2 linked regions of the Caenorhabditis elegans genome follow. The protein of the gene in region 1 interacts with the protein of each later gene in a pairwise test. Each region holds a gene or a part of one and is shown in the gene's direction. Other genes may lie near its edges.

Region 1 (6,237 bases):
CTTCCCACGACTGAATAAACACTTCGTGAACATTGGATTACCGTTTAGACGAAATCTGTTATCAGAAACTTTAATCTGACAGACAGGATCCAGAAAATGGACCAATTATAACAAACACGAAATCAAGTGGGAGACAGCGAAGTATGTGACGAGGAAACTTATTGCCACCAAGTCGAACATTTTTGATACCTTTCGGAGAAATAAGAACAAAATCTATCCATTTTTTCACTTAATGTTGATGAGAAAAAATGAGAAGCCGTTTTCTAAAATTATGGCCTTTTATTGCAATTCTGTGTTCGGACTATTCTGTTCATTAAAAGCAGCGTATTGCTGTGTAGAAGAATGGTAATCACGGTATTCAGATTGGTCGATGACATCCAGGGCCAGCAAGTTCTCGATATTCGTTTACTTTTATTAGGAATACAAAAGAAATTCAAAAAATTTGGGTGGTTATTTTTGTGATAGTGCGGGCTTCCGTAAAGGCATTCGCATCCAATATTCAACTGACCCTTTCAACTCGCGCGGACATTTCGACACATTCTAATATAAAATCATCACGTTTCTTCGAATTGATGTTATTCAACCGTGTATAAAAGACAGCAACATAATTTGATCAACTTTAGAAACAAGTTTATTGTTCAACAAATAACTTTACTTGAGTGGGATGAATCGGGAAGAGTGGGTAGCTCCAATACCTGGTCTTCCGTGCTTGACAGGCTTGTAGGAGATAGCGAACTCTCCGAGATAGAATCCGATCATCTCTGGCTTGATTTCGGTCTGTAACAAAATAATAATAATCATAATGTTTTCGCATTTATTGTAATCGACTCACCTGGTTGAAAACCTTTCCGTTGTAGATTCCGATGACTCCACCAACGAGCTCTGGAAGGATGATCATGTCTCGGAGATGGGTCTTAACGGTGGCTGGCTTCTCGAGAACACCAGCAGCCTTCTTGGCCTTTTGGACCTTAGCGATGAGAGCCAAGTGCTTTCTCTTGAGTCCGCGATCGAGACGTCTGCGCATGCGGCAGGGGAGAAGCTTGGTGAATTGTTCACTGGAAATAAATAATTGTTCTTGGAGATGACCAAAAACCAGACATTGCCGGCAAAATATTGTTTTAAAAAATTACCGGGACATGTCCAAAAGTTGGTCCAAGTCAACTCCTCTGTACATGAACTTGCGGAAAGTTCTCTTCTTCTTCAGCTCAGCGAGATGGGCATCATCTTGAGTAGCCATGTTTAACCCTGAAAAATCGATTACTTTTTTTGTTGCAATATATGGATATTGAAAAGAAAGTAAATAAACATATGGAAGAGAAGTGAAGAAAACTCGTCATGAATTATCAAAAAGAGCACTGACTTACATATCGTAAAATTTAATTAAATAAAATCTGAATTAATGCAACTTCCATTTTATACATTTTTACGATAATTTTTCCATTAGTTTCACATATTTCTCTACAGTAGGAAAAGAAAAATTAGTATTTCTATATTAAAAACAGGTATTAACACCAAAAAACCAGAAAAACCGTGAAAAAAATCGCGAAAAACGGAAAATTTTGTAAAAATTCTACTGACAACCGAAGCTCCGTATCGTTCATCATTGTTGAGTCGCTACTCAGCGCAGGTTGGCTGTTCGCCAGAATTCGGTGGAGCGCGGTTGCAATTCTTATATTTTTATCAATTTTTCGGGCCTGATAAACGGAAATTGGTGAAAAAAAAAGTTTTGGAGCTTCGTAATTTAATTTAAATAATGTTATTCTCAAAATAAAAAATGTATTCAACTGCTGAATACAAATTATTTTCATAAAATGAAGTTTCGACCAGAATTTATTCGACAATAATTAGTTATTTGAAATTCTTGTCGATTTAATTTTGTTTTTTAAGCATTGTTTTCAATTTCGAACTGCAAATAAAGCATAATAGAGTTTGGAGATCTATATTCTCTCCTTTTGACGATTCTACCTTTTAAATATCTTCTTCTTTAGCCTTATCGCAAGCACTATTTTGTCTTCACTTTAATTTTTTCAGAATGCGATTAAACCTACTTCTACTACTTCTATTTTATTTTGCACATGGATCTGTGGTTCCCAATGTAGACCAGAAAATTCTACGCGGGGAGTTCCATGACGAGGGAAAGTTTATGGTGGATTATGAGGATAATTCGCAAAATTTGACCGATTATGCGAGCCGAAGAAGCAGTGATGACGATAAAATAACTCCAGAAGAACAAAAAAGGCGTGGAAATGACAGTACAGAAGTTTCAGAAGATGATGATTCAAGTGATATAAGTGAAGAAAGGTGTGACCATTTAATTTAAAATCATTTTTTCTCACCGGCTTCTTGCGATTTACAAAATTTGGACAGTTCAGACTTATAAAAATGTGGGGAAAATCAGCCGATTATGACAAATTTTTCGACACTGCTACGTCATCACACGAAGATGAAGAAGGGTTTTCAATTTTTGAAATTAGAATGCTAAAACCGCATGGTCTGCTTCTCCCAATTTCAAACTATCCTATTTATTTTTGTTGAGTTACTTAATTTTTTAATCTTCTTTTCCATATTAGTTTCTTCCAATTAAACGCTTTTTGAATGAGGTCGAGTGATGGTCTTCCTGGAACTCTATGAAAAATGACAAAAACAATTATTATTTCAGAGAAAGAGACAGTGTGGATCATCAACATCTCAAATCTCTGACCGCCATCAAACCTGAAAAACATCAACCAGTGGCTGGTGTAATCAACTCTGCATTCAATGACAGGTTTATTTTTACTAATATATTGATAAAAATGAAGCTTTTTTCAGAAAGACATTCTCCTGTCCTCGTATCAAAACTGAACTTTTGACTGGAACGAATGTTGGAAACATATCTCCTGAAGATATAACAATCATTGCTGCAATGGGAGATGCTCTCGCAACTGGAATTGGATTATGGCCAAATGCGGATATCGAGTTTCGAGGTGCCAGTTTCCCGATTGGTGGAGATTCTACTATAGATGGATTGATCACCATTCCAAGTGAGCTTTTTTTAAAAAGAATTTCCTGTAAAAAATTTATAATCAACAATAAATAAACAATTTTCAGATATTCTGAGGGAGTTCAGTCCAAAATTAGTCGGCGTATCTCACGGAATGGGAGCCGATCTTCCGAATCATCAGCTTAACGTGGCGGTTACCGGAGCAACGACCGAAGATCTTCCAGATCAAGCAAGACGATTAACACGCAGACTGAAAAAATTATCAGAGCTAGATTATCATAATGAATGGATTATGATAATTATTACTATTGGGACAGAAGAAGTGAGTAAATAAATGTGTAAAAAGACCGTTCAACGGAAAAATTTCTGCTAAAATCAAGAAAACAATTTTTTCGTAACAAAAATTTTAAAAAATAAACCAAGATAAATTTATTTTAAGAAAAGGGATATGTATCGTAATCTCTCACCATTCACACATACCTTCTTAAAGGCGCACGGATTTATTCAGACGGTTCTCGGCGCGCAAAAATTGTATGGTAGTCCTTTTTACTTTTGCGGCTGCTTCCTTGTTTATTTTTCTTGTATTTTCAATAAAAGCACTTAGCCGATTTTTTCGTTAAAATTTGTTCAAGCCAGTTTTCACCAAAATAAAAAAAAAACAATTTTTAAATGAAAATATGTGCTTTGAATATTTACTTATTAAACATTTTTTAACAGAAAACCTAGAATAAAACGACAGAATCTGCTTAAACAGGAAGCAGCCGCAAAAAACAACTAAACACATAAACTGAAATTTAATTTTTGGGTTTTAAAATTTTTTCCAAAAACTTTTTAAAAAAATTAACTTCTTCCTTCTGAATTCTTCTAAAAAAAGCAGTAATCAAGTAATGTCTTGGTGTATAATGAATGAAAATTTGACCCGATTTGTTTCAGCTTTGCTCTCGATGTGAAGGACCTTCGTATGATAACATTAGAAAAGCTATTGAACATCTGCAAATAGAAATTCCAAAGGCTTTGGTTGTTCTTTTGGGACCTGTTCATGTATCATCCTTCCACGAGCAGAAATCAAATCTTTTGAAGTAAGTTATTGAAAACTGGGAATTCAGAGAATTTAATTTGAATTGAAATTTAGAGCCCGTTGTGCATGTTCTCGAGACCAAACCGAAGGGTTCATGTATGATGTGTCTCGAAAATGGTCCAAAGTTTGGCGAGATGTTCAAAAATTTGTGGAGAATGGAGTTACAGCCGTGAGTTATGATTTGTAAATAATTTAAAATTAATTCATTTTGTAGAGACCAACATTCGGAATGATCAGTTATCCAATGGTAACTATAACCTCAAGATATCCAAGTGGATTGTTCATTCGAGATAAGCCATTATTGAATCGAAGAGGTCATAATTACGCGACGAAGTGGTTATGGAATAGGCTGATTGGCGGAGATTTATATAATCTTTCCTCGGCTACACTTTCCCAGGATAACTATTTTTGTCCTTCTGTTGTAAGTTGAATGCATTATTAATGCGAAATATTCAAATTAACACTAACAACAGCATATTAAAAAAAACGTTTCAAATCACAATATTTTTATTCATAGTTATATCCCGGAAAGATCTCTTTTCTACCTTGCCATCAAGAAGCGACGATTATTTACTTGTGAGCCGCAGACACACGACGGGCGGTTTTGCTGCTTCCACTGAAAATTGACTATGAATATTAGAATAAAACTGAAAAAAACAAACCGCGATTTGATGGCTTCTGTCTTTTTCACTTTGACGGGAGAGATAGATCGAGCGGCTTTCGTGGTAACTGCCTTCTTTGGAGCACGCTTCTTTCCACGAGTGCTACTGCGGCTTCGAGATCTCGATCTGGAACGTGAGCGAGTAGACTTTGAACGTGAGCGGCGAGTAGATTTCGAACGGGATCTTGAACGGCTACGAGATGATGCCTTCTTTTTCAACTTCTCCTTCGGAATTCGAGATGAACTGGTCGAAGTCGAAGAGTCAGTGATCCCCATATGTCCACGAAGAGCAGCCTGAGAGCGAGTAACCGCTCCTTGGGTGCGGACCGTTGGTCGGACAGCTTGAATCGTCTTCTTTGTAGATCCTGGACCTTTAGATCCGACTTTTGCCACGGTAGTCTTTCTTGCCATTGATGGATTTCTTCAAGTATGCGAATATGTCGAACTAATGATTGTTTTGTGGTTTTGGTCGACCTTGTATAGACATTCATTTGACCGGGCGAAAAGAATAATTAAACCATGTCACGAGAAATTAGAAATGAAACATAAATAAATGTTTTTCAAATTTTTGGTTCAATTTTTTTTTTGAAAATTGTTTTTTTAAGGGTTGTCCGTATTTCCGAACGTATGAGAATCACAAGAGATGTTCCACTATGAGCCTTCAACAAGCAAAAGAAGAATTAATTGATATAAATGGGACTTTTACAAAGGTTTGTTTGATGTTGTGAATGCTTTTACTTTTAATTTTGTATATTCTGCATGTATTGATATTGTAGCCTCGTCGACGCTCGGTTCGGTTCTTGTACAACGTGGCAATGGTGGTTATAGGTGCAGCCTTTTGTGCTGCCTGCCTGCTCGGAACTTTCTTTTATCAAAAATCCAAAGCGGTATGCAATCTATACTAGAATTCCACTTTTAAATAGATGTTAATACATAATACTTTTAGGGTAATCATGGACGGTTCGAGATTGTGGAGGAACCACAGAAAAAACTGGAAGAAGCGCAGAAAGAAGAGCAAAAGGCGCTGCTTACAAGACAAAATACTCGAGCACAATCTGAACAGGTAAATTTAAATAAACAATTACTAAATATGGTAATATCTCAAAGCTCTCATGAAATAATTTCGTTTTTTTCTTTCAATAAGTTTCCGAAAAATGCGGTTTCCAAAGCGCAATATTCAGTTTGAAAACTTTTAAAAAACATCGCTACGTTTCAGGCGACAACTCCAACTGGTATCCAGCTTGCACCAATTCCTGTCGGACGTCACAAATCATTTTTAGGAACAATCAACGAAGGAAACCCGGATGTATAAATCTCAAATTGAGAATTCATTCGATTTATATTTAGTTAGTAATTGCTGTATTTTCATCTTGTCATCACTCACTCTCTGTAATTTTTATCCAATTATCCTGTAAATTTATCATTTACATCCTTGAATTCATTCCAACCCAGTTTTGCTTTACAACCTCAGTTTTATGGCATTTGTAAATAATTTATGCCAATCAATTCCGAAAATCT
Region 2 (6,237 bases), on another chromosome or scaffold:
AGAGCCTATTCAACGCTTATCACCACACATTTTATTGCCCATCTTCATATGTTTTTTCTTTCCTGGCCGGTTGTCCCTTTAATCATTATTTTTTATGTTTTCCTCCAGTCTTTTTGTCTCTATAACTTGCAAAAACTTATGGGGTTATTAAAGTAATGTAGCAAAATGTATTTAAATACAGTTGTGACGTAATTTTTCTACACTTTTTAATTTTCCGACACTACTTGAATAACCCCATTAGATGTTTATGGGCGGCGGAAGAAAAGGAGAACAAGTGACAAAAACTAAACTTTGTACACTTCTCCCAAAAAAAGTTAAAACAATTTTTTCTCTTGTTTTTTGGTTATAGTAAAATATTGTGCAGTGCAATAATGTTCTATTTTTGCCACGTGGCCTAGAAAACGCAAAAACTCGGCCAGCAATTCATCCTAGTTAGAGTGTGATAAGCTGGAAATTTGAATATTTTTTCCCAGATTTTTTAGAGAATTTCTCAATAGGCCGCACTTTGTAAATAAAAATTTTAATTTTTTTTCTGAATAAAATATCGGTGGCCAAGCTTCACTGATTTTTTTAAAATTTACTTTAGCCCGTTAGTTCCCAAATTACTAAATATATTAACATTTTTGGTGGCCTAGTTTTCTCTTCTCGCCACGAAACATAAATTTGTGGACTTCTCAATAGAGCGCATTTTCTTTGACAGGGGTTTCAAATTTTTTGAGAATAAATGGTATACGTGGCCGTGGAAAAAAATGGCCGAGTTTTCTATCTTATTAATTTTGTTGAAAGTTGGCCTAGATCTTCGTGAAACTCGAAATTTTGTTGTCCGTGTTTAGCAAAAAAATTGTTTAGCAAAATATTTATGTGCCCGTCCTAGAAAACTACAGTAACCCTCCGAAAATTGGCTCGAATTTTGTCCGGCTCCTTGTTTTTGTGCGCTCCCATTCTCTTTCTCTTCCTGATCATTTTCCGTTGTTTTTGCTCTCATTGAACACATCTTTTTCAGTTGGGGGCACCCATTTCTTCCAATCAGTCAATTATTGATAACAGCTCCCCCTCCTTATCTCTCATTTTTCTTTTTCTATATATATTTGTTTCCAAAAAAAATTCACGAGTTCGTTATTCTTGATTTCTTATTTCTTTATATCTTTTCCAAAATTCAAGTTTTTCAGCTTTATTTAACAAGCCCATGGCCTAGAAAATCCCAATTTGTCTTCATTTTGTAGGCCACCTCAATTTTGTGTACTCCACCTTTACAATCCGGGATTCTAATTTTTTCCAGAATTTATTTGAATTATTTAGAATTTTGTTTAATTTTTTAAAAATTATTTACTGAATCTTGTTGAAAATTTGTTTTTCCGATAAAAAACCTGTGTAGTCAACGTGTAGAGCCGGGATTTTTAATTTTTTAAATTCATAATTCTCGCTCAAAAATTTTTTCAGACAAAGCTTGTGTACGTGGACATTCATATTTTTTTCTGAATTTAGTGGATTGTTTTGAAATTTTCTGAAACTTATTTAATGATTTTATTGACATAAAATGATTTTCAATCGAAACAGTACCTAGAATAATTCAATTCTATGTTCCAGCATTGTAGCATAAATTTTTGAATTTTTGAGAAAAGCGAAGAAAACGTTTCTCGTTGATTGTGTGTGTTTATTTATCGGTCAAAAGTTAAATGAGAGGAAAGAATCATTGTCGTGTCTCTGTGATTGTGATTCATTATCTGACAATTGACAGCTGTTTTGATAAGCTTTGTGCCATACCGAATCCCCTTACACATACACACGCCTGCCACGTCACAAAACTCATTATATCTCCTCAACTAGATTTGTTAAAATTTTGGATAAGTAGGACCGCCGATTAATGTAATAAAAGTTGAGTTTTAAATTTATTAGCTCTTCTATATTTTTGGTTTTACCAAAAATGTTACTAATATGATAGTTGGAATTTTTTGTAAAAATCCATTTATAGAACATTTTGTTTTGGCTCGATTATGTATGTTTTTTGAATTTTTCAGTGTATTTTTTTTTAATTAAAAAAACTTTTTTTTGGTATATTGGTAGAAAAAAATTCGATTAAATGTTTATTTTCAAAATAAATGAATGTTTGTACAAATGTGTACACAAGTACCAAAAATATACCGTAATAACCGATTATACCTTCTAAAAAATTTATAAAATTTGTCTAATTTTTAAAATATTCAAATACTAAAATATTAATGTCGCCTGTTATTCACAATATTCCGTATCAAAAAAAAAATTAAATAAGCTAAATTTAAATCCGAAATTTCTGCATAAATACCGAATATTTAATTATATAGTGAATTTGTATTGGTAAAAAAATTAGGAAATTAGTTGAATTTGAGTTTTTTCTTTAAAAAAATTCGGAAAATCATATTTTTAACCAAAATAAACTGACTTTGAAGTATAAAAATGTTCCTAAATACGTTTTTTTTCACAGTTTTGAAGTTTTGAAACCATTTTCAAAATTCCAGCCCATATTTGTTGGTCTAAAAATTTAGAATTAAAATCAAATTCTGTACCAAAAATTCAAATTTAATTAGAGGAACAACTAGGTAACCTTTATAATTTACGGAAACGTTTTTTTCCAGACGAAGTTTTTTCTTTAACATTAGTCTCATCATTTTCAAAAACCGGTGTCCTTATTAAAAACCAAAGAATATATATAAAAACCTACTCCAATAACCCCAGAAAGATCAGAAAAACGGACTTTTTCGTTTTTCACTCCAATCTCTTCTTTACTTAAATCAGTGTAATTTTTCTCATCATCTATCCTTTTCATATCTGTTAACACAAAAATTGCTATCAATTTATCAAAAAAAAAAAGAGAGTGAGAAATTCGCAAAACCGATTTCGAACACTTTCAGGATGTGGTTCGATATTAATCGATTCCACCTTCTCGTTCTCCTCACTTGGCAATTCTCCATTTTCTTCGCCTCACAACAGATTTTTCCGATTTTCTCGAATTATGTGCCACAATGGACATGCGGTTTGTTTTTATATTTTTATAAAAATTTTATTGAAAGAAATCCAGACTTATGAAAGTTTTTCGCAAACTTTTCAACTAATTTTGCATGGTTAAGAGCGTGCTGACGTCACATTTTTTCGAGGAAAAATTCCTGCATTTTTTTTTAGATTTTGAACGTCAAAATCGATGTTTAAATTACGCGCATTTTTTTCCGGGAAATCACTAAAAAAAACGGTATTTTCTGATTTTGTTTGAAAACAACAAACAACTAGTTGCAACTAAATAAAAATAAACTGACAAAATTTTCAAATTCGCGCGTCAAATATGGTGCATTGAGTAGACAAACTTCTAGAACATATTTGACGCGAAAATGTTCATTATTTCAGTTTTCGAATCGAAAATTACCAAATTTCTGAAAATAAGAATACAAAGAAACTTCTAAAAGAAACTTCGAAAACCAATCTCTGCAAACACCGACACCCCAAATTGTAGTACATTACATTTTAAAAATGACAGAGAATCCTTCTTTAGAAATTAAAAGCCATATCTGACGAGCAGGTTTTTTTTAATCTTTGTGCGACAAATATAGTGTAACCAGTGTGTAACATAATATTCTGTAAACACGAACTAACTTTTATTAAATTGCCAAAATTTGGTATCCAAAATTGAAGATAAAAACTGTTTTTGACAAATCTGTAAAACATAAAATTTTAAAGAAACCTTGCAAGTCAAGGCCTTGACCGTGAAATCTATTTTTTCTAAGCTTCCCAAATAAAATTGATAATTTCAGGAAATGGGGAGCCAACATCAGACTGTTCAGTCTATGAATCATGTAAATCCAACTTAACATTTGTCAACGTGGCATTCAAGTCAGCTGCAATGGAATATGACTGGATTTGTGGAAAATCTGCATACTTGAAGTCATTGTTCTCACAAATTCAATTTGCCGGCGTTTTATGTGGAACATTTTCATTTGGAGCAGTTTCAGATGTTGTTGGACGGAAGCCTGTCGCCGTTTTTGCACTTTCTCTTGGAATTCTCATGAATTTCGTGACGGGTTAGTGGAAAATTCAAAATAATTTTTTTTTAACAAATAAAATTATTCCAGGATTGGCTCCAAACTACCAAGTTCTTCTGGGAATCCGATTCTTTTTGGGCTTGTCTGTCGGTGGAACTCTTGTAGTTGTGTGCACATTTGTGATGGAAATGCTCCTGCCGCAACAGAGAATGGCTCTGCGAGCATTCTTTAATTGGGTATGTGATTTTTGTCACTTTTATAGTGCATTTAATCTATGAGGGAGCGTCTGTTATGGTGCATCGATACTCCTGTTTAAAGGCACATGATTTTTTATAAATGGGTTTCGCCACGATCTCAGTTATAATGGTTGCTACAGATGGTAAATTTCACATGTTTTTTTTCATTTGGTATAGAAAATAAAGTTTATGAAATGTCAACTGCTAAATAAATTGCACAGTGAAAATAAAAAACTTGCAAAGGGCATTTTTTGAGCTTCAACTCAAAAATTTCATTCTTTTTTTAACAGACAGGCTTGATTTGAAAATCCAGACAAATGCTTTTTCTTTTTTTTTTTGTTGCAAAAATTAAATTTAAAAAACGATCTCATACTTGATGTTCAAAATAAAAGTATTTAAGAAACCTTCGATGCACCATGCTTGACGCTTAAAATCAGGAAATCCAACTTTTCAGGGAGTAGCTCGTCTTATGATGACCCTAATCGCAATGGCATTACCCGAATGGAGAATGTCATCGATTGCATGTGCAGTGGCTGCTCTTCCAGCTCTAATTATTATTGTATTCGTGTTCCCAGAGTCTCCGACATGGTTGCATAATAAAGGAAGGTTGGATGAAATGAAAAAGAGTGAGAAGCATATTGCAAAAATGGCAGGAGTACCGTATGTTCCAATTGAGCATAAGAGAATTGAACATTCGAAGGTGAGATCTATTTTACAAAAATTTCAGAAAAACGGCAATCGGCAAACTGTGCTAAATTTCAGAATTTCAAATTTAATGAAATTCAAAAAAAATATACAAAGAAAACGGGAAAACATTTCAAAAAGGTACAGTTTTAAATGTTTCCGTCATATAAAAAATCTCCCTAGAAACTTCCGACAAATTTATATCCGGCGAATGGAAAATCGGCAAATCGGCAACCGCCGGAAATGAAAATTTCCGGCAAATCGGCAAACCGGCAAAAAAGGCTCTCCTCTGTTATATGGTTTCGAAACTACCAAATATCATAGTAAAACTTTTCAAACACTAAAATTGTTTTAAACTTGACGGTTCAATAGTGGCAATTACTGAGTTTTTGCCACATTTCGAGAAAACTATTGCGTTGGCTAATAGTATTTAAAACGATTGCACACCAAAAATTTGAAAGAAAAAAGAACAACGAAAACTGAGATTTTCCCAATTTTCAAAAATTCATATAAAATTTAGAAAAACATTTTGAATTTTTTACTATGATAATTGGTCATGTTGGTACCAAAAGCATGTTTTGAAGCAATTTCCTCACTGAAAACGCTCAATCAACAAAATTGTTTCAGACAGTAATGGAAATGCTCCAAACCAAAGGACTCATGAGCCGTCTCTTCGTCCTCTGGTCCATGTGGTTTGTTGCCTCAATCTGTGGATATGCAACTGATCTCAACTCCAACACAATATCTGGTGATCTCTTCGTCAATCAGATTCTTTTCTCAATTCTTATCGCGGTTTCCAAGATGATTCTCGTCGTATTTGACACTCATGTTCCATCATTCCGTCGACGAACTCTTCATCAAGGTGCACAGTTGGTTGTGTGCATATGCTTCTTGATTCTTACCTTCATGACGTTTAATGGATATACTGTAAGTGGTTTCGGATCTTATTTGGGATCAGTAAAAACTATTAAACATAAATGGGCTATTTTTAAACTATAACGGTTTGGATAGGTTATCGAGTAATTATCATGATGCGCAGAATTTTTTTTTAAATTTTTAAATTTTTTGACACTCCGTTTAAGAAATATTAAATTTCGATTTTTAGAGCCACGAAATCGAAAAATATTTTTCGTTTTTTTCCGATGTTTTTTCATAGATTTTGAGTATAATTAACAAAGTTTGAAAACTCAAAAAAAAAACACGGGAGATAAGAAATGTACAGGAGTTTTCTCTTTAAAAAGATTCGTATATTTCTAATTTTTTTTTATTCCTTGATTTTCTCTTGACTTTTTGAACCGCTGATTTTTTCG

What was found. The genes of interacting proteins can lie anywhere in the genome.
Region 2: the proteins of F36A2.9 (region 1) and K11D9.3 interact in a two-hybrid assay, tested with the Caenorhabditis elegans proteins (one large-scale study listed by BioGRID).

The regions. Positions count from the first base shown.
Region 1 is NC_003279.8:8,814,949-8,821,185, forward strand, and holds the start of F36A2.9 (Lipase_GDSL domain-containing protein), read left to right. Parts: upstream 1-2,027; 5' UTR 2,028-2,032; coding exon 2,033-2,301; intron 2,302-2,659; coding exon 2,660-2,764; intron 2,765-2,808; coding exon 2,809-3,020; intron 3,021-3,087; coding exon 3,088-3,302; intron 3,303-3,913; coding exon 3,914-4,059; intron 4,060-4,112; coding exon 4,113-4,227; intron 4,228-4,272; coding exon 4,273-4,479; intron 4,480-4,550; exon of another isoform or gene 4,551-4,628; coding exon of another isoform or gene 4,629-4,674; intron 4,675-4,720; coding exon of another isoform or gene 4,721-5,130; exon of another isoform or gene 5,131-5,155; intron 5,156-5,324; coding exon 5,325-5,429; intron 5,430-5,495; coding exon 5,496-5,606; intron 5,607-5,665; coding exon 5,666-5,782; intron 5,783-5,935; coding exon 5,936-6,031; 3' UTR 6,032-6,237. Other genes in the region: rps-15 (Small ribosomal subunit protein uS19), read right to left, coding at 652-777, 833-1,055, 1,131-1,237; F36A2.10 (DNA-binding protein), read right to left, coding at 4,629-4,674, 4,721-5,130.
Region 2 is NC_003281.10:10,797,751-10,803,987, reverse strand, and holds the start of K11D9.3 (Major facilitator superfamily (MFS) profile domain-containing protein), read left to right. Parts: upstream 1-2,888; 5' UTR 2,889-2,889; coding exon 2,890-3,010; intron 3,011-3,779; coding exon 3,780-4,046; intron 4,047-4,097; coding exon 4,098-4,243; intron 4,244-4,697; coding exon 4,698-4,943; intron 4,944-5,554; coding exon 5,555-5,854; intron 5,855-6,237.